Rattus norvegicus: one gene and its partners. The protein of the gene in region 1 interacts with the protein of each later gene in a pairwise test. Links are inferred from orthologs where the notes say so. Each region holds a gene or a part of one and is shown in the gene's direction. Other genes may lie near its edges. The genes, in order: Klhl12, Inmt, Ntaq1, Pdgfrb, Ttbk2, Atxn1 and Tbc1d10c.

Region 1 (2,785 bases):
ATGGTGGAACCATTTCCAGCAAAGTTGAAATGTCATTGGTTCTTGACACTAGCTCATAAATGACCAGCTTAGTGAGTAGAAAAGCTCAGAATAGCACAGTGCATGTCCCTTTCAGCCGCACTGTGTATAGTTCTTTGGATAGTAGTAGTTATTTCTTGTTTTTTTTTTTTTTTTTTCCATTTCTTATTCCATTGTTTTTGTGTGTGTCCACACATGTGGGCGTATCTGTGCCATACCATGTGTGTGGAGGTCAGAGAACAATTCTCAAGGATCAAATTTGGGTTATCAGCCTTAGCAGCAGACACCTTTACCTACCAAACTATCTTGCTGGTCCCTTTTTTGTTTGTTTGTTTTGAGACATCTCACTTTGTATTCCTGACTGGTCACAAACATACAGGCTTCCTTACTTCCTGAAACTGTCTTGCTCACACACACACATACACACACACACATACACACACACACACACACACACACACACACACATCCCTCCCTGGGACAAAGTCTCACTATGTAACCCTGGGTGGCTTCAAACTTACAGGCTTTCATCACCCTCCTGGGTGCCAGGGTTACACATTTGAGCCACCAGTTGGCTTGTTTTTTGAGATAAGGTTTTTTTTTTTTTGGTTCTTTTTTTCGGAGCTGGGGATTGAACCCAGGGCCTTGCGCTTCCTAGGCAAGCGCTCTACCACTGAGCTAAATCCCCAACCGAGATAAGGTCTTGCTGTATAGCTCTGGCTGGCCTGATACTCAATGTATAGCCCAGGCTGACCTTAAATTTATGACAGTCCTGCCTCAGGCTGACAAATGCTGGCATTATAGGCATGTGCCACCACCACACCCAGCTTAGTTTCTGTCTGTTTAGAAGTTCTCACTGTGGAAGTGTCAGGAGCCATGTATTACATTTAGCTGCCACCACCGTTCAGGCTGCACAGCCTGTACTGTTGGTCATGCTGTGCTAGATTAAACTCAGTTATGTTGAGTCCTGTTCAACTGAAAAAGTTAAGTCTCCTTTTGGTATTTCAGTACTGTACAACCAAGAACCATTTCTGAGGAGACATGGAAAGCCTTTGGACCACTCGTACCCTTTAGGGTATTTCAGTACTGACTCAGGATTAGCAATGTGCCAGTTCTTTTCCTATGGAAGGATATTCAGTCTCTTGGCGCAGTGCCTTAAGGGGAGTAGAAAGCTATCACATGTTCTGTAAACCTCCCAATGAGGCAGAAGCATTTCACTCTGTAGGTGGTCACCTAGCCCCTTTCAAGGTGAACCTTAGCCACAAGGGGGTTTCCCTTGTGTGAAGGGAAGCAGGGTATAAGCAAAGAAGATTAGAACAGGCAGGGTGCGGAGAAAGGTGGGGCTAGAGCTTGCCCATCTGAATGGTATTCTTCCTTTTCTCTCCCAAATCCATAGAGTATCACTCGCAAGAGACGGTATGTGGCCTCGGTTTCCTTACATGATCGGATCTATGTGATTGGTGGCTATGATGGCCGTTCCCGCCTCAGTTCAGTGGAGTGTCTAGACTACACAGCAGATGAAGACGGAGTGTGGTACTCTGTGGCCCCTATGAATGTGCGGCGAGGCCTTGCTGGAGCCACCACACTGGGAGGTAGTTGATGATAAATGCTGCTTCATTTAGCTCCTCTACTTTGATGGGAGCATGACCGATGTCTGAGCTCAATTGTGCTGTACGGTCATGGGCACTGGTCATAGTTTATAAATTCCATGTGGACAGTCGTCAGTGCCTTTAAGTATTTCTTTTTGTAGTTCATTTTGTTTTGTCTTTCAAGACAGGGTTTCTCTATATAGCCATGGTTGCCCTTAAATTCCCTTTGTAGGCCAGGCTGACCTTGAACTCGGATCCACCTCCCCCTGCCTCCAGAGTGCTGACATTTAAAGTATGCACCACCACCCGGATCTCTTAAGAATTTTTATTTTCTTGAGATGGAGTTCAGTAAATTTCCCTGTGTAGCTTGTCTGAAACTCGGGTGTACATAAAGGCATGAATGAGCTTTAAATGCTTGTTTGTACTGCCTTTCTTCTTCCGAGACTTGAGTGACTTATCATCTAAGGGGAAAATGCTCAGAGTACAAAATATACTTTTACACACACACTACCATATACAGTTAATATACACAGTGGGAAATTTAAGAACAATAATAAAAATCAACTTGAAGAAAGAATAAGAATTTGTTTGCTTGAGACAAGTTCTCAAATAGCTCAGGCTGGCATTGAATTTGTCTCTGGTCACAGTGGCCTTGAACTCCTGAAGCTCCTCCTGAATCTCCTGAGTGAGGTAATTACACTCATGTGTGCATCTCCTCCTCGCATCTTAACAGTCAGTGATTTGTAGAGAAAAAAGTCCTAGAAGTTTTTCCTTCTTAATTTAACAGTCTATAATTTGTTCACTCTGAGCAGATATGATTTACGTTTCTGGAGGCTTTGATGGAAGCAGGCGTCATACAAGTATGGAGCGGTATGACCCAAACATTGACCAGTGGAGTATGCTGGGAGATATGCAGACAGCTCGAGAGGGCGCGGGACTAGTGGTGGCCAGCGGCATAATCTACTGTCTAGGTATGAGCCTGGGGTGGGGCTGGGCCAGCTTAGTGGACTCCAGAGGGCATCACTTTTACCAAAATTATGTGTATATACTCACATCAAACAAAAACTCTGATTTATCTCAATGTATTGTCCATGAATAGGATTATATTTTTCTTGTAAGCAATGTGCAGGATGTTGCATATTCTCCGACCTGGAAAAAATAGAACTGAATCAATTGAA
Region 2 (4,218 bases), on another chromosome or scaffold:
GGAACACATTCTGAAGTTTGCTACCCAGAAGCTCTCACCTTGAATGACGTTTGGAAAGAGATGAGGCAAGCTTGTACACATGTGCCCTCCCGTGTGGGTGCATATGTGTGTGCACGCACGTGTGTGATCATTGTACACTCTCCTACAGTAGAATAAGAGTCTACACAGCCTCTGTCCACCCTGTCCATTTTCCTTTTGTGGTAGCGACTGTGCTGGTTAGTTTCTTCCAAGCTAACACAAACTAGAGTCACCTGGGGAGAGGGACCCTCAAGTGAGGAATGACCTCCATCAGACTGGCCTGTGGAGTGTTTTCTTGATTAATGATTGATGTGGGCGAGCCCAGTGTTCTGAGGGTGGTGCCACCCTTTAGCCAGTGGTTCTGGATTATATAAGAAGGCAGGCTAAGCCAGCCATGGAGGGTAAGCCAGTGAGCAGTGTTCTTTCCCTGTCCCTGCCTCTGCTCCTGCTTAGGTTCCTGCCCTGCTCTTCCTCAGTGACAGATGTGATCAGGAGGTGCAAGACAAACAAATCCTTTCCTTCTCAAGTTGCTTTTGGTCCTGGTGTTTACCATTGCAATACAAAGCAAACTGGGGCATCATCTTTCAAAGAAACCAAACCAGACCACACCAGATCTATGTAAGCTGATGATTCTGGGGACGAGTAGAGGACAACACGCACATGTGCACACATGTGTCTGAGGAGGTGTGGCATTCTATGTAGTGCCAATACATGTTTTCAATTGTTTGTCCAAATGCAGGACTTGGCCAAGGCACAGGCCTAGTGACTTGGGGAGGTGCTGTCAAAGTTTACTCCTGAGTTCATAAAAGAAAACATTAAGCCAAACGAGAAAACAAGACTTAAACCACTGGAGAATCATTAACTCAGTTAAAGATGAGCTGTTTACAAGGGCAAGTTCACTGAGTGTAGAATAGCAAAGAGATTTTAAGAATCTCTGATCCTCCTACTTCCCCAGCCTGAGGAGCACTTCAGCACTGCTTCTTGTTTTGTTTGCTGTATCCAAGATGAAGCCCAGGGGCCCTGAATGTGTTGGCCAGGGGCCTGGCCCTGTGTCCCCACCCTCAACTCTCAACCCCAGGAGTGAAGCATCCCCGAGCAGATCCTCATCTCTTTGGTCTCTGCCTCTTTGTCTGTCTGTGCATCTCTATCCCTCTGTAATACTCTCCCTCTCCCGATTCCAGTCGTTGGCACACCGTGACCCTAGAGAACTAGAGATGAGAGCTTCAGGACCCAATGACCCAGGACAGGACTGGGGGCCCTCTAGCATCCTCTTGCTTCATCACAAAAATCAAATCTAGCCAGAAATCTGACACCAGCACTATGACACCATCTCCAGGGACCCTAGCTCCTCCCTGAGAAGGGAAGTTTACCACAGAGATTATAAAAGGTAAGGTGGGAAGGAGTGAGCATTCTGCAGGGACAAAGGAATACAGGCAGCTGTGGAGGCTGACTAGAATGGCAGGCAAGGTATACATGGGAGGTGAGGACTATGAAAAAGAGTTCACTCCCAAAGACTACCTGACCACCTTCTACAGCTTCGACTCTGGCACGGTGGCAGAACAGGAAATTGTAAAATTCAGCCTGCAGAACCTCTACCAGACCTTCTCTACAGGTGAGTGGCTGAGGTCCCCTAGGGAGGGGCTGGAGCTGTGCCAACAGAAAGAGCTCATCCTGTACATACAGACGCTACAGAAGTGACTAGCCTGGAAGCCCACAGGGCCCAGACGGCAGTGTGTGCTGGTCCAGAGGAGCCATGCCTCTGGAGCAAAGAAGTTGGCTTGCAGCCATGATCATCCTTAGCCGCTTCACTTGTAAACTTTGAGGGGTACACCCAGACTTGTGGGGCTACTAGGCCCGTGCTGAGAGAAGTGACATGAAACTGGGCACTAAGGCTGCTCCTCCTCCCTCCCTTTCTGCCAGAGGCCTTCCAGAAAGCTCTGTAGCCTTTCTGGGACCTTGAATCTCTCTGAAAAAAAATCTAATGAAAATTCTTCCCCACATACCTGTATACAAGTTTCCATAATTTGCCCCCCTCCCACGTCTAAGGGGAAACTAAGGCTGGGCATGGTGGGGAGGGAAAGAGGTGGCCAGTCAAAGTTGGGGAACTAATAGTTCCAAGAAGCAAGAAGAAAGCATAATACTTAGAGTGGCCCAGCACTAATGGGGAGTGTGTTCTGTGTGACCCTGGAGATTGCTCTCTGCAAAACCACCCGCCCCAGCCCGTGAAAGCCTTCTTAACCAGACATTCAGTGCCAAGGAACAGGTGAGCAACCTCAGAATGTAGAGGAAGGGAAGTCTGGTGCTCCTGGAGAAAGCTGGGACACAGTATAGGCATTGGTCCTTGGCAGGAGCATAGTAGGTATAAAAGGAGACTGAGAAGAGAGCAGGCTGAGAGGGCATACACTAGGGTGCCTCGCTTTCTTATGTGTGGCTGCCTTTCCTAGCAAACCAGAGGGCTTAAGAACTGGCTGGCATCCTTCTCAGCCTTTATCCCAGACCCTGCCACTCCATCAATTCCCCCAGTTTTCTAAATCCAATGTTCTTCCAGATAAACCCATGATTAGAGAGAGAGAAATCCTAAATTTAACAAGAAGGCCAGACATACCTCCCAGGCCTCCACTGGTATCCTGGGAGTAATGGGGAGGCAGTTAAGAAAATCAGCTCTACCCCACCCCGAGCATTGCTCCCCAGTCCTGTCAACACACAGCCCAGAGGCAAGCAGCTGCTGCCCTTCTGAGCAGGCGCATCCTAATGTGGTTTGGAGTCACTCTGCAGGATGTGAAGTCAGGGTGCCCAGACCTGCCATGCTGTCTATCTCCACAGGAGGTGTAGGGGGAGATGTCTTGATTGACATTGGCTCTGGCCCCACCATCTACCAGCTGCTTTCAGCATGCGAGGTCTTCCGGGAGATCATCGCCACTGACTACACCCCACAGAACCTGCAGGAGCTGCAGAAATGGCTGAAGAAGGAGCCAGGAGCCTATGACTGGTCCTCCATTGTACAACATGTGTGTGAGCTGGAGGGAGACAGGTATTTGCAAGTGGTCCCATGTTGTCCACCCATCTAGTCCTTCTCAGACAAGGCCCCTCTGGTACTCAGGACAGCACAGGAACCCACCACGCACCTCCCTTTCCTCCTGGCCCACCTTATCCTCGTGAACCTATAACATTCCCTCTGGGTTAGTCCTAACTCTAGCCCTAATGTCTCCCAAAACCATCTGGCCCTACTCTCCCTTTCTCTGCTCAACCCAGCTGTGACTCAAGCTTCTATGCCACCTCCTCCAGGAAGTCCTGCCGACTACCCAGCTCACACCACACCCACTTTACTCTGGAAACTGGTTCAGTGTCTCCTCTGACATTGGGGAACACACTTGTTATGAAAAGACAGACTATGGGGTGTACTTCACACTTGTCCCCTCAACGTGGTGACAAAGCACTGAGACTAATGGCAGTGACCTTCTGCAGGTCACTTTTGTTCACAGAGGATATATGCTCCAATTGCAGCTGCAAGGATCAGCGATTTTGACCTTATCCTACAGATGGGGAAACTGAGGCCCAGGCTTAGAGAGGGTCCTCTAGCCATCCTCAGAGCAGAGTAAAAACAGGTTAATATTTCTGTCCTGTAATATTGAAACAGAGTGCATAACTGTTACAGTCCAGAACAGTCTACAGTGGTCATAGTTAGAGGGACACAATTATAGGAGCCTTGGAGATAGTCCCATCTGGGTGTCATGAGTCAAGCGCACACACAGCCAGGAGGGAGCCCCATGGAGCTCCTGTTACACAGGAAGATAGCTACCACCATGGAAGATGGAGAGAGGTAATATGAGGCAGGAGGAGAGGCTAGAGGTGATCTCTCCTGGGAGATCAAGCTCCTGTAGTTGAAGTGAGGAAACAGGGATGTGTCTCAGGAAGGCCATGCAAGTGACATGAGCTACACAGCAAGGGCTGCAGATCCACATATGAAGAAGACATGGCCAGGCATCAGGAGGGCCACCAAGACCACACACAAGGCTGTGTGATAAGAGTGACATGTGTGCACGTGTGTGTGACATGTGTATTTGTGTTTGCATTATGTGTGGATGCAGCATAAATATGTGTATGTGAATGTGTGTATGTCTTTGTCTATGAGAGTATATATCTGTATGTTAAATGCATATGTATATATGTGTATATGTGTGTGCACGTATGTGTGTACAA
Region 3 (3,500 bases), on another chromosome or scaffold:
CTGTAATGGGAATCCAATTTCCTTTTCTGGTGTGTCCGTGGATGGCTATAGTGTACTCATATAAAATAAATAAATGAATCTTTTAAAAAAAGGAACCTTTAGCTTCATTTTTAATTTAACTTTATTTTTTTTAAAGATTTATTTATTTATTTTATTTATGAGTACACTCTATCTGTCTTCAGACACAGCAGAAGAGGGCATTGGAACCCATTACAGATGATTGTGAGCCATCATGTGGTTGCTGGGAATTGAACTCAGGACCTCTGGAAGAACAGCCAGTGCTCTTAACCGCTGAGCCATCTGTTCAGCCCTCATTTTTTATTTTTATTTAGTTTTTTATTTATTTGTTTTCTGGAGACAGGGTTTCTCTGTGTAGCCCTGGCTGTCATAAAATTCTATCTGTAGACTAGACTGGCCTCAAACTCAGAGCTCCACCTGACTCTTCCTCCTGAGTGCTGGGATTAAAGGCGTGTATCACCACTACTGCCACATTTTATTTTTTTCCCTATGTAACATTCACAGAAATTTGAGAAATATCGGGCAGTGTATATTCAAGCCATATCATGAGTTCTGCCTGCTAATGCTGTTTGTAGACTCTTGAACGGTGCCTTAACTCCAAACCACCTTCAGGATGGAGACGGGGACAAGGCAAAAAGGAGAAACTGCTAGCCTGTACCTAAGCTGTTTCCCCATCTCTCTGAACTAATGACTCCTCCTCTGCTGTCTTTATGCACCTTTAATGGACCCCCTGGGATAATTGGTGCTTTGCCTCTATGCCTCTGGTCTGTAGGCATTAATTCATGATCTAAGCACTTAGCTGTGATGTGTATCTCATGCCCTTGAAGATGCTCCTGGTTAAGTTCAGAATTCCTGTGAGACCAGACCAACACATGTCTTCTCAGAACTTGGATAAACATTTTATGGGGTGTGCTCAGAGCAGAGGGCCTAAAGAGTGGCTTCTCTGTTTACAACGCACCCAAGAAGAATCTGGGACCATTGTAATGAGGGGCACAAGCAGTTTCCTCTCTGTGACTGGATCCCCTACATCTGTCTCCCCTATTCATCCACATAGCTTCCAGGCGAAACCAGTGGGACAGGACTTGGTATGGGGGAAGTGTTCCAGCATTTAGCTGCAGGGCGATGTCTAGAGCATAGTTGGTCCATGAGTGAGTGTCCATGGGTGGTCTGAGGAATGACGACTGGACCTGAGTTGGTTCTCTCTTCTCCTCCTGGATACCCAGGAGCGCACGCAGGTCTCAGGCTTAGCCTTTACCCTCTGAGCTAGTTTGCCCTCCCTGAATCTTTCTTAAAAGTGTAGGTGGGGTAAGGGGGACTAAAGTTACCAGCCAGCAAACTGGAAGACTTGAGTTCAATCTCTGGGACCCACAGTCCCTGAAAAGTTGTTCTCTGACTTCCACACATGCACTGTGACATGCAAAAATCTCTGTGTCTGTCTGTCTCTGTCTGTCTGTCTGTCTGTCTCTCTGTCTGTCTCTCTGTCTCTGTGTGTGTCTCTCTCTTTAAATGTAATCGAAAAAGCGTATTTCAGGGCTGGAGAGATAGATAGCTCTGCCGTTGGCAGCCCTGGCTGCTTCAATTCCTAGCAACCACATGGTGGCTCACAACCATCTGTAATGGGATCTAATGTCCTCTGCTGGTGTGTCTGCAGACAGCTACAGTGTAATTGTATACATAAAATAAATGCATAAATAGTTTTTAAAAAAAGAAAAAGCACATTTCTGTAATACTTTTTGTTTACTATAATTTCATAAATTTCCTGCATGCTGTTCCTGTCTTTCTCAGGTAGTGAGGTGTGGATGAGTAGAAATTGGCTCTAACAGTGAGTGATAGGGCCAGCAGAGCGCTCATGAGGCTTATTCTGAGCAGAGGTGTATCTGATTCATTACATACAGATAGGGACCCAGAGGCTGAGCCATGAAGTCAGCTAGGAGGAGTGCCTGTGCTTGCCTGTGCTTGGGAAGGAGGCTCAGTGTGATACCCTGAGCATTGCTTAAGCAGGTTCTGACTATGTCACATAGCTAATTGCCTGTCACATAGGGAGAGATTTGGCTGGGATAGAGCAGAGCATAGGAAGATGAATTTCGGTTTCCACCTTTTTTTTTTTTTTTTAAAGCTCTGGCTGTCCCGGAACTCAGTCTGTAGACCAGGCTGGCCTCAAACCCAGAGATCTGCCTGTCTCTGCCTCTGCCTCTGCCCCTGCCCCTGCCTCTGCCTCTGCCTCTGCCCCTGCCCCTGCCCCTGCCCCTGCCCTGCCCCTGCCCCTGCCCCTGCCCCTGCCCCTGCCCCTGCCCCTGCCCCTGCCCCTGCCCCTGCCCCTGCCCCTGCCCCTGCCCCTGCCCCTGCCCCTGCCCCTGCCGTGCTGGGATTAAAGACGTGTGCCAACACTGTCCAGCTCCTAAAAGGACTTTTAAAATGATTTTTTTATTTTTTAAAATGGAAATGTTTTCAGTTTATTTTAATTTCATATATGTATGTGAGTGTGTATGTGAGTTTGTGCTTGTGAGTATGTCAGATCCCCCTGAAGCTGGAGTTACAGGCAGTTGTAAGCTGCGATGTGGTGCTAAGAATTAAACTAGAAGAGCAGTAGGCATGGTTAATCAATCACCAAGCCAATTCTCCAGCCCTATTTATTTTTGAAACAGGTCCTTACTATGTGGCCCTATCTGGCTTTGAATTGGAAGAGATCTGTCTCCCAAGTACTGGGATTTGAGGAAGGTGACAGTGTGGCGTAAGATTGAATTTTACAGAGGAGAAAAGCAGGGTTTGGAGAAGCCAGGAAGGAATTGCATAGCTGCTTTGCCTGGTGGTGATTGAGTTGGGATTCCAGAGTTTCTCAGCTTTTGGAGTCCTGACATAGTTTTTACTGGCCTCAGTCAGCCTCCTGGGGTAGGAAAGGGCCCTCTGCACGTGTGCACCCAGTACAGGTGGGCTAGCAGCTGTTGGCTGTGCCAAAGCCACCTGTTAACCAGCTGTCAGATGAGGCGGTTACGGTCTTCTCTAGTTATATCCTCACCCATCTTTTGTTTAAATCCAAAAGACAGCTGTTCACTTGTAATTATATTGATTAAGCAATCATTTTGTTTCAGTGAGGAAAACATTTGGAAGCTCTGTGAATACATCAAAACACACAACCAGTATCTGTTGGAGGAGTGCTACGCTGTCTTCATATCGAATGAGAAGAAGATGGTAAGTTGGTAAGTGATGACGGAATGAGGTGAGGCTCAGGGGGACCTGAGAAGCCAAGTACAGCGCAGACACTGTGCTGTTCTAACATACACTTTGGAGCAGCAACCTTTCAAACATTTAGTTTCATTTAGATTCACTTTAGAAGTATTTAGTCCCTTACTCTAGGTGACAAACCGTGTGATGGTGTATTTATGCAGATTACATTCCCTCCCCTCCTTCCTTTTTGAGACAGTGCCTCATAGTATAGACCTTGGCTGACCTGAAACTCACTGTGTAGACCAGACTGGCCACAG
Region 4 (3,500 bases), on another chromosome or scaffold:
GGGGCCGGGGCATGCCTCAGCCAAATGTCACCTGGTCTACCTGCAGAGACCTCAAAAGGTGAGCACACCTTGAGGCCAGGCCTCCCAGAGTATATGCAGCTGCCTAGAATGCTCCTTTAGGGTAATCTAGACCGGCCTCTTCACCTGAGAGGTCCAGGCCACATCTTTGATCATTCCTCTGCCTTCCGGGAGATACCTAACCCACATTTCTCCTTTTCTTACCTTGATCCTGAGCCATCCTCAACCTAGGAAGGTGCAGGGTCTGGCCCCCAGAGGTGTCTAGTTCACCCAGTGGATATGCGGGGATTGCCTCTCTATCCTTAACACGTTGAGTAACCTTGAGTCAAATGAGTGAATTTTGCCATTCAGGAGTCTCAGTTCTGGACTGGGAGCGCCCCCTGCTGGCCCATCTAGGCAGCACAGTAGGAATCTGCTTAAAGAGCAAGCAAAGAAATCAAACGTTTCTACCACCATTCACAGTCTTACTTTCCCCCACCATTTGCAGAGAGGAAGCTAAGAGAGTCTGCAAGCCAGTCCTTTTGTGTCTCCTGGCAGGTGTCCGCGAAAACTGTCACCCACACCCTTGGGGAATAGTTCCAAGGAGGAGAGCCAGCTAGAAACGAACGTGACTTTCTGGGAGGAAGATCAGGAATATGAGGTGGTGAGCACGCTGCGCCTGCGTCACGTGGACCAGCCACTGTCAGTGCGCTGTATGCTGCAGAACTCGATGGGCAGAGATTCACAAGAGGTCACCGTGGTACCACACTGTGAGTGCCCTAGCTGCGGATGGCTCTGATGAGCTCTCACCCCTTCCTTGATCCCACCTCACTGAGTCCGAGTTCCCAAAGCAGATCAAGTCAGCATACTCAGAAGAATGTTACAAAGTCTACCAGAGTAGGTTCCTAGGTGCGCACACGAAATGTGACATTGACACAAGTGCACAAACACAACTTTATACACCACAAACACGAAACACATTGACATTTAGGTGTAGAAAGTGAAACTGGCACGCGAGATGCATGCTGTAAACTTGCATGAGCCGGTTGATACTGGGAGTCAGGCGTACACTCTTCACGGGCACGCCGTCTGCGCCGAGGAGGCTTTGTCTCCAGAGTATATGCGTGTTAGCATCTACTCAAGCATACCCAGTGCTGTTCGTGGATGTGAAACTGCAGAATATATTTTTGTGAGCCGTGCGTATGAGACCAGCCAGATCTAATATATCAAATGCTGAAAGATGAGTGGGGATTAGCTAGCTCGTGAGGGCTGTGGAAAAGCCTAGCATAGGCTCTGTGTGGGTTCTGAGGAGTTGAAGCAAATGAGCCCGGATGCAGGGCACACTGTATGTGGATTTGGAGTAGGGGAGGGATTAGGGAGGGAAGTGGTAAAGAATGGGGCTACAGGATGCAGAATACAGCTACAAGATACAGGATACAGGATACAGCTGCAAAGAGTATTTCGTAGACAATCAAACACAGACCCATGCACACTGCGCATATACCTGAAAACAGAGACATGCACACACCCACGCAGGTGTACACACACAGAGGCTTCCGCAGGCTTGTACATGTCTGCTTATGTACATGCCTGTCACCTGCCCTTAGAGGAAGGGTGAGCTTTTAAAGCATCCTTACTGGGACTGCAGAGATGGCTCAGAGGTTAAGTGCACTTGCTGCTCTTCCAGAGGCTCTGAGTTCCGTTCCCAGCACCCACATCAGGCAGCTCACAACCACCTGTAGCTCCAGATCCCGTGGATCTACAGCCTTCTTCTGACCTCTGTGAGCATCCACATGTGTGGCATTCTGTCATACAAATGCTCACATATATACACACAAAAATATATAAGATATGTGTTCATTGCTTTAGGCATCGCAGATTTCTTTGCACTTGCACTGCCAAGCATATAGTCCTTACGGTCTAGGTGTTAGAAAAATTAAGTGCCCTTATTCCCCCATATTCTCATCTATGCACACAGGTAGACTAGCTCTGGGCCCGAGTAAATGCAGAGGAAAAGTCATGTGTGACGCCTGCACAGGACGCCATGTGCTATTACACGGAGACCCAGCTATTACACGGAGACCCAGGATGACTCTGATGGGTCTCTGGAGAGTGCAGGCTTCCTTTGTAAGACCAGGATGTAGGGATGTAGGGAAGAGAGAACAGAAATGTCAGCCAGTGACCCTGAGAAGGAAAAGATGGGGCTAAGCCAGAGGAAGGCTCCCTGGGGAACAGAGGAGGGCAGGAAGAAGCAAATTCCCAGAGCACAACAGCTCCTGCTAAGTGGGAGAGGACAGGGGATGGGGGTTCAGCCAGGCTGACTAGGGAGGTGATGTAAACAGTGAGGCTGAAGTCTTGGGCTAGAGAGGACTCAGGGCTCAGGGAGACCTGCATGTTCACCTCAGGGCCCCGGGAGGTGCATACTGACTGTGCCACACACACTAGTGGTCCCCAGGCTGGGGCTGGGAGGAACAGACTTCTGGTGGTGGATTATTCAGGCTGCTGAAGTTCAGAGTCAGCTCCTTCGGGAGTCACTCGGTGAGTGCCTCAGCCATTTGGTTAGGAATGGCTCTTAAATCTATGACCCAGGAATGACTGCCCAATAGGGCATGGACTCAGAGAAGAGGGGGTCGTGGCCTGGTCCCCAGAGTGCCTAATGCTGTGAGAGGCATAGGTCATTCTCAGGAACCAGAAGAGAGTTCCCCAGCCTAGCTGGATGTTGCAGAAGCCAGCCTGAGCCTGACTGTCATCTGAGGGGAGTCACTGAGGGGCCCTGGGCTTGTAGGAAAGACCAGAGTGTAGGCCCTGAGGTCAGATATCTAGGCAGTAAGAGCTCACGTGCTCAGCAGAGCAAGTCCAACGGATCTGTGATGCTCCCAGCAAGATGGGGAAAGCAGCTACCCAGATACTGTTTGCTTATGGCCTACTCTGGTCTTTGTCCTCAGCCTTGCCTTTCAAAGTGGTGGTGATCTCAGCCATCTTGGCCTTGGTGGTCCTTACTGTCATCTCTCTCATCATCCTCATCATGCTGTGGCAGAGGGTAAGCCTGTGTATGGGTGCAGAGTGGTACCCATATTTCCTCACGGTCTCCACTGTATGTTACACAATCCAGCCCATAGGAAAGGCACAACACAGAGTTCAGCCTGGAGCTGACTTAGAGCGTTGCTGGGTCTCCAGCTCCCTCAGTCCTTACTGGGCTGACGTGATCAGTCCAGGACTCTTGCCCCTGCTCTTTCCTCTGCCTCAGTCCTTCCCGCTCAACTCAGTCCTGGTGCAAATGGTGCATTGTGGGTGGACTATCATGGCCCCAAGATTCTTTCAGCTCTAACCCATAGAGACTGCCATGAGTCACAAGAATGCAATCTGACCCCAGGATTCTGTTCTGACGCTCTATTCTGACATTTCCCCTTTCTGTAACTCCAAACACTTAAGATTCCGGAATTGGGACTCTAGTCCCCCTTCATCCTGTCATTATAAGATTCCAATCCTGTGACTCCAAGATC
Region 5 (3,500 bases), on another chromosome or scaffold:
CATATGTAAGGCTCTGGGTTCCATCTCCACCTCTACCATAAAAGGATGGAGGGAAGGAGGAAGGAGGGAAATCATATGACAAACAGAAAAGAAACATCTGTAGAACAAAAGCGGACCATCTTTCCAGATGACGGCAGGGCTTTGTTCCCTTTCTTGACTCTGATTAGTGCAGCTCTGTTCACAGCCTTGGTGCACTGTCTCTAATGAGGGGAAGAGGAGAGCACAGATCACACTTGATCATAAACTGGTAAAGTGGGTGATAAAAGATAGAATTATACGCAGGTCCACTTGTGAGTGTGGAAAAGAAATAGGTGGGTTTTTAACTCGTGGGCAGATTACCCTCAGACTTTTCTTTGCTCTCACTGTTGATTCTTTTCCTTTCTTGGAATATGAAGATAATGTTGAAAAGGTCATTCATTACAGTAGTAGTAGTTGTTATTGTGTCTTTAATCATGGCAGTTGGGAGATGGAGAGGCAGGCGGATCTCTGTCTCTGAGTTTGAGGCCATGCTGGTTTATAGTGAGTTCTAGGCTAGCCACAGCTACACAGAAACCTTGTCCTGAAAATGATGACAGTGTGAAAGGGTGTAGTTGGGAATGTGAAGGTTAGGGTTCAGCCTTAAAATATGGCTGCTAGAAAGCTGGCCAGCCATTCCTACCTTACAGAGGGACAGGAGAGGTGGCACAGCTGTTACAACAGGGACTGCTGTTGAAAAGGCCCTGAGTTCAGTTCACCACACATCCATGTCTGTTGGCTCACAGCCTTTAACCCTAGCTCCAGATCTGATGATTTGGGATGCTTAAAATCATCTGCACTCAGTGTTCATATATTAACATGTGTGCATGTGCCCCCACCCCCACACACAAACACAAGTGCACAGGCATAGACCCCAGCATGCAATTAGAAATAAAAGTAATTTTTTGTTTTCATTTCCTTTTCAGTATTTTTTTATTCACTTTATCTTGATCACAGCCCACGTCCTCCTCCTCTCCTCCTCCCATTGTCCTGTTGTCCCCATGTCCTCAGAGAAGGGGAGCCTCTCTTGGGCACCACACCACCCTGGGACATCTAGTCCCAGCAGGACTAAGCACATCCTCTTCCACTGAGACCACCAAGCAGTCCCAGGTTGGGGAAGGGATCCAATGGGAGGGAGCAGAGGCTGAAACAGCCCCCACTTGGCTTGTTAGGGAGTCTAGCTTCTGCACACGCCCTGGTTGGTAGTCCACTCTCTATGGGGTCTTCTTTTGGTGTTCTTGACCTTCTGCTTGCCCACTTCTATCCCGCACTCTCCCACTAGATCTCTTTAACTCCCCTGGTGTTTTGCTGTGGGTCTCTGCATCTGAGGAGACTTAGGTTAGGCTCCTGTCTGTGAGCAGAGCAGAGCAGAGCATCATTAATAGTGTAAGGGTGGCTCTCTCATTGGATGAGTCTCAAGTTGGGCAGCCATTGGTTGGCTATGCGCAGTCTCTGCTCCATCTTTATGCCAAGTAATCCTTCCTTCCTTTCTTTTAAGTCAAATGTTATCTTTTTTAAAAAAGAAAAATACCCTTAAGGATATATTCTTAGTATGTTTGGGCTGCTATAATAAAAATATGAAATAGGTACCTTGCAAACAACAGAACTTTATCACTTACAGTGATCGAGACAGATTTGGGGGTCTCTTTAGGACCCCCTATAAAGATACCAGTTTTATGGAGACTGCCTCCATGACCTAGTCATTTCCCACATACCCCATTATCTTAGTTTGGAATTAGGGCGTTCAATACATGAAATATAGCATGAGAATATACAAGTTCAGATTATAGCCTAGGCATACATACTTTCTGACATTTGTAAAAGCATTGGTCTGGCTAATGAATAATGTCTACACGTAGAAGTCAGCAATGAGTAGTCAAAAGTAGGGATTCAATATTGTGTGTGCATTGCTGGAGATTGAACTCAATGCATCAGTTACTAAGCCCACTACTTTTGCTATCTGATTTTTGTAATATCAACTGGGGCAGTCCTTATGGCACCAGAACAAACTAGATTTTGATAGCTTTGGGGGTTTTTCTTTTCTTTTAATTTTTATTTTTATTTTATGTGTGTAGGTGTTTGGCTTGCATGTATGTTGCCCACAGATACCAGAAATAGGTGTCAGGGTCTCTGAAACCTAGAGATAAGTTAGATGTGACTCGCCGTGAGTACTAGTAACTCATGGAGCCATCTCTCCAGCCTGAGGAATTTGGTCATTTGGATTTGTCGGTTGGTTTGAGACAGACTCTGTGTAGCCTATTACCCTGTGCCCAGCCTTCTGCTTGCCCTGGCAGTTTCCAGCAGCTTCTTGTTCTAGTCCGAAGTGTTGGTTTTGTTGTTTGCTTTTGAGGGAGGGAATGAGAAAGGGGTATGACAGTTTGGGCAGTCTCTCCTAACTCTGGTGAGGTCTGTATGTCACAAAAATAACCTCCTTTCCAAGATTTAATTTTAATATAGTGACGTAGGGTTCTTTAAACGTTTAAATAGTTGTAATGTGGGGTTGGGGATTTAGCTCAGTGGTAGGGCGCTTGCCTAGCAAGCGCAAGGCCCTGGGTTCGGTCCCCAGCTCCGGGGGGGGGGTGGGGGGGAGACCTGTCTTAAAATAGTTGTAATGTAAGAAGGACAGTCTTTAAACATTATCAAACTATTCTTCTACAAAAAATAATTTTAAACAAGTAAGTTAATACTAACACCAAGTGTAAACCTAGGAAAAACTGAGTATAAAGAATTGACAAACAGAAATTTAATAAAACAAAACTATTACTGTCTAATATTTTTATTTTTAATTATGTGCATGTGTGTGCAGGTACTCATGGAGGTCAGGGTCTTCAGATCCCTGGAGTTGGAGTTACAGGTGGTTGAGTCACCCGATGTGGGTGCTGGAACCCAAACTCTAGTATTCTGCAAGAGCAGTAGATGTTCTTAACTGCTGAGTCATCTCTCCAGGCCCAAAGTCAAAATATCTTAGTTTTCTTGGCTGGTGAGGTGAGTCAGAAGGTAAAAGTGCTTGCCACCTTACCTGGCAGCTTGCATCTCGGAGAGTCAGCACTCCCACAAGTTGTCCTCTGACCTCCATAGTCACATGTAGTTTGGGCATGTACATACATATATACAGTAAGTAAATACAATTTTCAAAGTTAAATTTTTAAAGATTTAATTTTCTGAAAATACATGTAATCTTTTGTTGACATTATTTCAAAGGCTTCAGTGATTTCTCCTGTGTATAACTTTGGAATAATTTTCATGATTGTATTTTCTATTTTTTTCTAGGCAGCTACTGAAGAAGAAAATAGCCATGGTCAAGTGAATGGAATTCTTAATGCTCCAAGCCTTGGCTCACCAATTCGTGTCCGATCAGAGATTACTCAGCCAGACAGAGATGTTCCTTTAGTAAGGAAGTTACGTTCCATTCACAGCTTTGAGCTGGAAAAACGTCTGACTCTCGAGCCAAAGCCAGATACTGATAAGTTTCTTGAGACCTGGTA
Region 6 (4,222 bases), on another chromosome or scaffold:
GGCTCCACAATACAGTAGTTTAAAAGCTCACACGTTTCTCTCGGTGACTCTGTACGCTGCTTCAGATAGTGACTAACTGTTAGGTCCTACGTAAACTGAGCCAAAAGGTCTCTCAAATCCAGCTACAGTCAATAGTAGTGGCTTCCAGCGAGACCAAGGGATCAAGTTTCCAGACTCTTAGTTTTAAGCACCTGAAAGAGGTCAGATGCTGGCCTGACACCTACTGGTCTTCAAGAATTATCTGCAGCAAAGAGATCGCCACACCGAGCGACCCTCCTGGGGAGGTGCGGGCTCTTCCTTCGGATGCCACACCTGTTGGCAAGGTGCACTCCTCCGGAGAAGATTCCTTCCCACGGAGCTCACACCCGGCTGAGGTGTAGCCGGAGGGGGCGGGTGGGGACTCCGCGTCTGCGTTTAGCCACCGGGCCAAGGTGGGAAGTTCTTTCGCCTTGGATTCCCGAGAACCACCATCCACTGCTCAGTGCACGGGTTACCTCACTTGAGATGAGATGAATGGTCCACAGTTAGCTGTGAGGAGTGAGCAGCAGTTCGGTTACCAGGGCTAGAGCTGAGACGTTCGATGCTCATAGCAGATTTCTAGACCAGCAGAATTTGAAAGGAGGCCCAGGAGGTCGCCAGCTTGTCCAGGCAGGAAAGGTGAGGGTGCCGGTGCAAGCTGGGGAAGCCTGAGAACTTTCCGGAGTTGCAAGCCAAGGCAGAAGGCACCGGCCTAGCATCGGGTGGCTCAGGACTGGCGGGCTGGCTAGTTAACCGCGGGGATACAAAGAGTCCTCTTAGATGCTCACCAGGGGCACCCTGGGTGCTTCGTAATTAGAATCAGCCGACTTCCCCGCCCCCTTGGGTATTTTACCAGGTGGGAGTCAAAGCCTGACACCCGTTGCTCTGAGTCTCCCAGGTTGCCTGAGTTGCACCCTGCACTCACCCTGTCCCCCTCCAACTAGGTTGCAGGGAGCCGGGGAGGCGCGCGAGCACCGATCGGTCACCACTCCAATGACCTCATCGCCCCAACTTCCCCGCCCCTTTCTCAAACCTGGAAGGCACAGTTCCCTCCGGTCGGTGTCCGGGATCTGGAGTCGCAGTTGCGGAGAGACACCCGGCCTCCCCTGGAGCGAGCGCTGCCCCAGCCCGGGTGCATAGAAGGGTTAAGGGCGCGGGCCGGCAGCCGCGCCGTGCGCTCGCCGTGCTCTGTGCGGCTCGCCGGGCCGCCTGCCAGAGGGTGCCTCTCCCCCCCCCCCCCCCCATGAAGTCGGATCCTTGAGCTGCGGCGGCGGCAGCCAACTGCTCCATATTTGGCTTCTATTACACATTTACATACTGGAGCGAGCGAGCGAGCGCGAGAGAGAGCGCGAGGGAGGGAGGGCGGGCGGAGGGAGGAGGGAGGGGAGGGGGGAGGAGGAGGAGGAGGAGAGAGCAGAGTATACCGCAGACATCATTTCTACTACAGTGGAGGAGCCGTACAGGACCTGTTTCACTGCAGGGGGATCCAAAACAAGCCCCGTGGAGCCGCAGCTAGAGCTACAACAGCCGCAGGACACTGTGTCTCTCCCTCTGTTCCCCCTTCCCCACGCAACCCCAGATCCATTTACACTTTACAGTAAGTGGCTATTTTTTTTCCTCCTCTGATTCTTTCTCTCCCCCCTCCCCCTCCCCCCGATTTAGATTAAAATCACCTCCTCCCGCACCCCAATCCGCTCTCTCCGGAGAGGGGGCCAAAGAAACATCCAGCATAAAACCCCCCTCCCCCAGTCTCAATGGGCTGCACGGAAAACAGCTGGAAGAGGAGCGAAGGAAACCGACGCGTCGTGGTGTGTGTGTGTGTGTGTGTGTGTGTGTGTGTGTGTGTGTGTGTGTGTGTGTGTGTGTGTGGTGTGTGTGCAGGCGCGCGCGAGTGTATGTGTGACTGTGTACATACACCAGTGCCCGGCTCCTGCCTCCCGGCTCGGGACCCCCACTGGGAGCAGGAGCGGCTAGCAAGGGGAGCAGCTAGGGGCTGGGTGGGCGGCCGCCAGGAGAGGGGGCGCGCCCGGGCGGGGGGCGCGGGTGGGGAGAACGGCGGCGCCCCGCTCCGGCTGCTGCTGGTCCGGCGGCGGCGAGCGCATAGAGCCCCGTCCTCCTCCTTCCGTGTGGCGTAGGGGGAGGCGGCAGCCGCGGAGGGTCGCGCTGCCCTCTTCACTCCTCAACAGCCCCCCTCCCGAGTGGGGGCGGCGAGCGCTGCGGGGGCTCGAGGGAGGGCTGGGCTTCCCCGCCCGGGGTCGCCTAGCTTGAGAGAGGCAACCCCGAGCTTGGGGTCTCCCCGCCCAGGCCAGCGTCTCGGGGCCAGGAGGGGACCTAGAGGGGACTTGCAGGAGGCTCGGGGGCGCGGAGAGGTGGCGGCTCAGGGGGCAAGGGCACGCGGGCCATCGCAGCGCAGTGGGAGAGGCGACAGGGACCGGCCCTAGCTGCAGCCGCCACCGCCGCCCTGTTGGTGCGGCCGCTTCCTGATCCAAAGCAGCAGCAGCAGCAGCGGCAGCCGCCGCCACCGGAGCTGGAGCCGGGAGCCGGGAGCCGGGAGCCCGCGAGCGCCCCAGCTCGGCCCGGCGTCCCTGCCGGCGCCCGCGGCAGTAGCGGAGGAGCTGCGGGCGCTGCCCTGCGCCGGGACTGCTCTCCTGCGCGGCGGCAGGGAGGGTGAATGAAGACGGGAGGAGGGGAAGGAGGAGGCGGCGGCGGAGGAGGCGCTGCGGGGATTGGGATGTGCCCCGGAGCCCCGCGGCTCGTTCACTCGGGGCCCGAGACGCCGCCACTGCCCGGGCTGCCGCCGCCGCCGCCGCCTCCTACGTGGTTGCAGCCGAGCGCGCAGGCCAGTCCCGCAGGGGGTAGGGAAGGGGCCGGACGGGCGGAGCGAGAGGTGAGGCGGGGTCGGAGAGCAGGGAGTAAGTGCGTGTGAGTGTGTAGGTGCGTGTGTGTGTGTGTGTGTGTGTGTGTGTGTGTGTGTGTGTGTGTGTGTGTGTGTGCGTGCGCGTGTGTTCGCGCGCCGGGCGGGGGGCCAGGACCATCGCGATGGGGAGTGGGGTCCACAGTGGTCCCTTAGCTGACTCTGCAGCCCTTCGACCTCTCTTTAGCCACCTCCTTCAACTCTGTGGCTTGTGAGCTTTCATTTTATTTCAGACCACGTAGAGAGCTGACTGCAAGCGGTGAAACAATTCAGGTTTTCTAGAGAGATTGAGCAAGGACCTTAGTGGTGGGGGGTGGAAGTAGGGTGCTGGTCTAGACTCTACCAGGGGCGCCGGGTGGGGGTGGGGGGCGGGGTGGGAGAATCAGGGTTCTAAGACGAAAGGGTTTAGTTCGATCCCGTGGCTGTCCTGTTTTGTTTTTGCTTTCTTGCTGTATAATCCTACAGATAAGAGGGTAATATAAATACTTGGGAAGGTTGGGAAATTGTTGAAGAGTAGTAAGGGCGGAAAAAAAAAGAGCCAGTCGGAAGCTGGTTATATAATGCGCTATGTGGCTAACAAGAAAGGCAAGCTATTTTTATTTTGTTTACCGTATGTTGTGCAGTAGGAACTCCTCCAAACTGGTTCTGTCCCCGAAGAGATTTCTTAGTTTGTCAGAGAGAGAGTCACAGGATACAATTAGTAAAATTAGAAGACCCCACACCACCTACAGAAGAAAAAGTAATGCTTTAGAGCTCTCACCTCACATCCTGCCTGGCATGCAGGGGAATGTGTGTATGTCCTATGTTTCCCTGTAGCAATCTAGTGGTGTCATCTCAGTGACATTTCTGTTTTATAATGCGAGCTCTTCTTAATATTTAAACAGCATTGCTATAGATCGTAGGCAACAAGGTAGTTACAGGCTGGGTATTTTTAGGTACAGCTGGTTACTTTTTGCAAGAGTGTTTGCTAAACCATTTCTGTGTGGCTTTTTGAAGAGCCCTGTCATTCCTAGAAGCCCTCGTTAAGCCTAAACCTCTGGTTTATTGATGGTGGGTGGGTAGCTGAGACAGTTTGATAGCCGAGGGTTTTATTTTTATTTTTATTTTATTTTTGAATGAAGCTTATGCCAGCGGAAGCTAGAGGTAGCCACCAGAGAGAGGAAAAACATGCACAAGCCCTCTTGGAAAGGGATTGCACCATAACAGCTTAACTGTGGCATTTAATCTCCTCTGATTGTCCTCTAACTGGCCACGCATCAGTCAATATTTTAGCAGCTTTGCAAATAAGTG
Region 7 (4,205 bases), on another chromosome or scaffold:
ACGCTAGCCCCCGAGAGCGGCGGGCCCGCCCGCGCTCTACTTCCGGACGGCGATGGGCCCAGGCTCGGCGCGCGCGCACCTTCCCTACCCCTACCCACCTTCCAGCAGGCGCCCGATGATGGAATCCAGGTTGAGCTTCTCGCTGTCGGACATGGCGGCGCCGCCGCTCCGGCCCACCAGCTCCGGGCCCTCTCCTGCCTCCCGCCCTCTTGCAGCCTCCTTCCGGCCTGGCTCTCCTTCCGCCCTCCCCAGCCCGCCCTCGGCCCGCCGCCCCGCCTCTTCGGCCGGCCGCCCCGCCCTGCCGCGTCCGTAGTTCCCTGCTCTCTAGCGCCTCCCCTGGACCGGAAGCACTGCAGCCGGGGAGGGCCTCGGGCGGCCGGGCGAGGCCTGGCAGGGGTGGAGGGCGGGGTTTGTAGGGCGGAGTTGGGTCGGCTCCACCCAGGAGGAATCGCCCTGCTGCGTTCTGATGAGTTAGAACCGGAAGTACTGTAGAAATTGTTTTTCTCTTTCCAAGTCTCTTCCCACCCCAGCCCTGCGTGGGATTGTGGTGTGAGCATGTTAATCGCTGACTTCTCAAACACTGTAAAGTAATTCCTCGAAGTGCAGAAAAAGGAACTAAGGCTCAATGACACTGAGAGTGAGCTCCAAACCTCCAGAGCCTCACATTCACCTCGGTCTTTATGGCCAGACCCATGAACACCTGCTACTGAACTCGAAGCAATGTTTTGGTCCAGGTTGCCTTGGTGCCTGCTACGTCAGGTTTTTTTTTTCGTTAAGTGATGTAATACTATTTTATCTCCTTCCTGTTGTAAGTCCTTTGTAGAATGCTTGGACTTGTCTAGCATGTGCAAGGCCTGAGGTTTTATCTCCGGCTCTGGAAGGAAAGTAAAGAAAGAAAAGGGGGGAAAGGTATTATTTTTAAACAGTAACACATTAAAGAACCCAATGTATCATAAACCTGTAATTCCAGTGCCTGAAATTCCAGCACTCAGGAGTCTGGACACAGGAGGATCAGAAGTTCAGGGTCATGCTCAACTACATAGTGAGTTCATCTCCTGCCTGGGCTACGTGAGACCCTTGTTCCCAGACTGTACCCTTTCACTCTCAAAAAAGAAAACCCAGGACAGTGGGTTGGAGTGGTGGGACGACATTAAAGCATAATTATTACTGGAACCATGAGTTGGTTTTACACGCAAGTAACCTCAAAACCGATAGTGGCCTGTCATCTTCAACTTGGGCAAGTCGGGGACTCTTCACACCTCCCATCCGTGATGGGAGGAGTCCGTGGCTCAGGCACTAAGGCAAGCAGGAAGAACCTCATAGAGGAAGGGGGGAGTCCCCCCACCAGGGAGGGGCCCCCAATAGGCTGCTGAAGCTGAGACTGAGGAGGAAGTGAGAGGAGGAGGTGAGGTGCAGCAAGGAGGTGAGCTGGGCTAGGGGCCAGGCCTGGGGTGGGTCTCTACACAGAGACTTGGTCTTTGTGGTACCTCAGGGACTACCTGACTCCCCCGTGACTGAGGACTGGTTCCTGGAACCCCAGCCTCAGTCTGGCTGTTCACACTGGCTCTCTATATGTCTTGCAGCCTGTGACACTGGGGTCTAGGGCAGAATGGCCCAGGCCCTGGGAGAGGACTTGTTGCTACCGTCAGAACTACAGGATGATTCTAGCTCTCTAGGGTCCGACTCAGAGATCAGTGGGTCCAGCCCATATCGTCAGGCTGACCGATATGGCTTCATTGGGGGCAACTCAGCTGAGCTGGGGTAAGTGAGGCATGGGTAGGGGAGATGGTAGGGGACAGAGGCTGAGGACTGAGTTCTGGAATCAGGCCTGGCCTCTAGGGTCTTGCTGTAGACACCAGCCCAGAACTCAGCTGTGACATTCCAGTGTCACTCCTCAGGTTCCATGTGGGATTAAGGTAAGAAGGGTGGTGGAGGGAAGGTCTTTTACATCTCTATTATCCCCCGAGGGTCTGCACTTTCTCTTCAAACTGAACATCTTTTCCCTTTTCATCTCTGGCCCAAGAACTCCAGATGGGAATTCGGATGTCTTTCATTCTCTTCTCCAGGTTTACCTAATACAGTTAATCAGATTCAGACAGAAACTTGACACATCACATAGCAGATCAGAAACAGAAGCAGATTCAAACTCAGGGCTTCTGCCTTCCAGTGCAGGGCACTGTCCTGCCCACCCAGCTTCCCTGTGACCCATCTCTGTCTCTGTTTTAGAGGACAGCCAAACAGACCTTCTCTAAATACGCGTCTCCTCATCCCGTTGGCCTTGCCAGCTTCCATCCCTACTGAGGCCCAAATCCCTTCCTTTACCTGTACAGCCATTGGCAGCTTCTGGGCCACAGATCATTTCCCAGGACTCTTCAGAGAGCCCCAGACCAGGAGCTGGGGTTTCTCTGATAGACTGGAATGGGAAGGTATATGTTCCAAGGAATACTTTGGTACTGTGTCTGCTCTGTACCTCCAGGCTTGGTCAACCCCCTGCAGACCTTATTCGCCAGCGGGAGATGAAATGGGTAGAAATGACCTTACACTGGGAGAAGACCATGTCTCGACGATATAAGAAGGTAAGGAAAGAGAGGTCTATGTACACTGGTTCCCAAAGCTCTTATCCCCCTGCTTCTGCTGCCCAAGTGGACTCTTGACCAATGAAAAGCTGTCCTTAGAGCTGACCAGTAGTGGTGTGTGCCTTTAATCCCAGCACTCAGAAGGCAGAGGGAGGCAGGTCTCTATGAGTTGGAAGCCAGCCTGGTCTACAGAGTGAGTTCCAGGACAACCAGTACTGTACTACACAAAGAAACCCTGTTTCAAAACAAAAACAAAAACAAAAAACAAAAGAAAAGGAAGGAAGGAAATTGTGCTTCTGTGCTTGGGACCTGCAAGAGAGCAAGACAAGTTAACCTGACACACCTTGACCCCACCCACAGGTAAAGATACAGTGCCGAAAGGGCATCCCCTCAGCCCTACGTGCCCGGTGTTGGCCCCTACTGTGTGGGGCCCATATGTGTCAGAAGAACAATCCTGGCACCTATCAGGTGAGAAAGTTGGCAGAATCTTTATTACTCCTTCTCAGAGCTCCCTGCCATCTGACCCCTCACATGTACCTTCCCACCACCCACAGGAGCTGGCAGTGGCCCCAGGGGACCCGCAGTGGATGGAGACCATTGGCAGGGACTTGCACCGGCAGTTCCCTCTGCACGAGATGTTTGTGTCACCCCAGGGACATGGGTACGAGGCAAGGGATACCCAGTGACACCAGGTCCTCGTGCTAGATCCATTAGTCATTCTTTTACATCCTTGGATGAGGGAGACCATAGCCTGGGCAGAGGCCACAGAGGGCAGGGCAGGGATGCCTGGGAGGCTAGCCTTAATGAGATCTTCTGGCACAGGCAGCAGGGGCTGCTGCAGGTTCTCAAGGCCTACACCCTGTACCGGCCAGAACAGGGATATTGCCAGGCTCAGGGACCTGTAGCTGCTGTGCTGCTCATGCATCTGCCCCCAGAGGTGAGTGACCTTGACCCTGCTCTGAGACACCCCAACCCCAACCCCAGGTACTCGGACCTCAGGAATCTGTGTTCCTTTACTTCAAGCCCTGTTCTTGCGACCAAAGCCTCATGTCTACCCATCTCACTAGCCCTTAAGTTTATTATCCCTGACTTCTGAACCTGGGACCTTTGATCCTGACCTTTACTCCAGTGATCTAGGAGTCTGAAAAAAATTTCACTTTAACATTCTGAATATTGATTCTGAGATCTGTACCATGCCAAGGCTTACCAGGAACATTCCCTCACATTGACTTTCCCTGTCTTATAATTTGTGGCACTGAGGATCTGGAGCACTGTGGCCTTGGCCGTGGGTTGGGGTGGGAGGCACCCAAATGACCTTAGGATTCTGGGATATAAGCTCTGAGAGTCTCCCAACTTTTGCTACAACCGTATGGCCCTCAAATATAGAACCCCAGGCCCTGTGAATTCCAACTCCTCCCCTCCTGGACACGGTGGGCTCTGAGCAGGGTGGAAGTGGCAGGAATCCAGGCCCCTGTGCATGTGTCCCACCCCTCCTTCCCCTCTATGGACAATTCCTTCCTGAGTACTCACAGGCCTGTGCCCTGCCCTCAGGAAGCCTTCTGGTGCTTGGTGCAGATCTGTGAGGTCTACCTCCCTGGCTACTATGGGCCCCACATGGTAAGAGGCTGG

Evidence for each region.
Region 2: the proteins of Klhl12 (region 1) and Inmt interact in binary tests that used the Homo sapiens proteins (3 or more experiments, as listed by UniProt). The two-hybrid records come from large-scale screens. The link is inferred for Rattus norvegicus from reciprocal best matches to the Homo sapiens genes KLHL12 and INMT.
Region 3: the proteins of Klhl12 (region 1) and Ntaq1 interact in binary tests that used the Homo sapiens proteins (3 or more experiments, as listed by UniProt). The two-hybrid records come from large-scale screens. The link is inferred for Rattus norvegicus from reciprocal best matches to the Homo sapiens genes KLHL12 and NTAQ1.
Region 4: the proteins of Klhl12 (region 1) and Pdgfrb interact in binary tests that used the Homo sapiens proteins (3 or more experiments, as listed by UniProt). The two-hybrid records come from large-scale screens. The link is inferred for Rattus norvegicus from reciprocal best matches to the Homo sapiens genes KLHL12 and PDGFRB.
Region 5: the proteins of Klhl12 (region 1) and Ttbk2 interact in binary tests that used the Homo sapiens proteins (3 or more experiments, as listed by UniProt). The two-hybrid records come from large-scale screens. The link is inferred for Rattus norvegicus from reciprocal best matches to the Homo sapiens genes KLHL12 and TTBK2.
Region 6: the proteins of Klhl12 (region 1) and Atxn1 interact in binary tests that used the Homo sapiens proteins (3 or more experiments, as listed by UniProt). The link is inferred for Rattus norvegicus from reciprocal best matches to the Homo sapiens genes KLHL12 and ATXN1.
Region 7: the proteins of Klhl12 (region 1) and Tbc1d10c interact in binary tests that used the Homo sapiens proteins (3 or more experiments, as listed by UniProt). The two-hybrid records come from large-scale screens. The link is inferred for Rattus norvegicus from reciprocal best matches to the Homo sapiens genes KLHL12 and TBC1D10C.

Annotation. Positions count from the first base shown.
Region 1 is NC_086031.1:48,479,265-48,482,049, forward strand, and holds part of Klhl12 (kelch-like protein 12), read left to right. Parts: intron 1-1,414; coding exon 1,415-1,610; intron 1,611-2,419; coding exon 2,420-2,578; intron 2,579-2,785. UniProt on the Homo sapiens protein: Substrate-specific adapter of a BCR (BTB-CUL3-RBX1) E3 ubiquitin ligase complex that acts as a negative regulator of Wnt signaling pathway and ER-Golgi transport.
Region 2 is NC_086022.1:85,649,956-85,654,173, reverse strand, and holds the start of Inmt (indolethylamine N-methyltransferase), read left to right. Parts: upstream 1-1,418; 5' UTR 1,419-1,473; coding exon 1,474-1,630; intron 1,631-2,841; coding exon 2,842-3,049; intron 3,050-4,218. UniProt on the Homo sapiens protein: Functions as a thioether S-methyltransferase and is active with a variety of thioethers and the corresponding selenium and tellurium compounds, including 3-methylthiopropionaldehyde, dimethyl selenide, dimethyl telluride, 2-methylthioethylamine, 2-methylthioethanol, methyl-n-propyl sulfide and diethyl sulfide.
Region 3 is NC_086025.1:91,580,359-91,583,858, forward strand, and holds part of Ntaq1 (protein N-terminal glutamine amidohydrolase), read left to right. Parts: intron 1-922; exon of another isoform or gene 923-1,049; intron 1,050-3,107; coding exon 3,108-3,207; coding exon of another isoform or gene 3,208-3,215; intron 3,216-3,500. UniProt on the Homo sapiens protein: Mediates the side-chain deamidation of N-terminal glutamine residues to glutamate, an important step in N-end rule pathway of protein degradation.
Region 4 is NC_086036.1:56,794,348-56,797,847, forward strand, and holds part of Pdgfrb (platelet-derived growth factor receptor beta precursor), read left to right. Parts: coding exon 1-58; intron 59-555; coding exon 556-767; intron 768-2,942; coding exon 2,943-3,037; intron 3,038-3,500. UniProt on the Homo sapiens protein: Tyrosine-protein kinase that acts as a cell-surface receptor for homodimeric PDGFB and PDGFD and for heterodimers formed by PDGFA and PDGFB, and plays an essential role in the regulation of embryonic development, cell proliferation, survival, differentiation, chemotaxis and migration.
Region 5 is NC_086021.1:128,162,417-128,165,916, reverse strand, and holds part of Ttbk2 (tau-tubulin kinase 2), read left to right. Parts: intron 1-3,285; coding exon 3,286-3,497; intron 3,498-3,500.
Region 6 is NC_086035.1:18,942,347-18,946,568, forward strand, and holds the start of Atxn1 (ataxin-1), read left to right. Parts: upstream 1-1,422; 5' UTR 1,423-1,615; intron 1,616-1,672; exon of another isoform or gene 1,673-1,826; intron 1,827-2,763; exon of another isoform or gene 2,764-2,905; intron 2,906-2,941; exon of another isoform or gene 2,942-3,143; intron 3,144-3,303; exon of another isoform or gene 3,304-4,222. UniProt on the Homo sapiens protein: Chromatin-binding factor that repress Notch signaling in the absence of Notch intracellular domain by acting as a CBF1 corepressor. Binds to the HEY promoter and might assist, along with NCOR2, RBPJ-mediated repression. Binds RNA in vitro.
Region 7 is NC_086019.1:210,910,592-210,914,796, reverse strand, and holds the start of Tbc1d10c (carabin), read left to right. Parts: upstream 1-1,405; 5' UTR 1,406-1,423; exon of another isoform or gene 1,424-1,583; 5' UTR 1,584-1,609; coding exon 1,610-1,761; intron 1,762-2,476; coding exon 2,477-2,576; intron 2,577-2,936; coding exon 2,937-3,044; intron 3,045-3,130; coding exon 3,131-3,237; intron 3,238-3,398; coding exon 3,399-3,513; intron 3,514-4,127; coding exon 4,128-4,193; intron 4,194-4,205. Other genes in the region: Ppp1ca (serine/threonine-protein phosphatase PP1-alpha catalytic subunit), read right to left, coding at 99-153.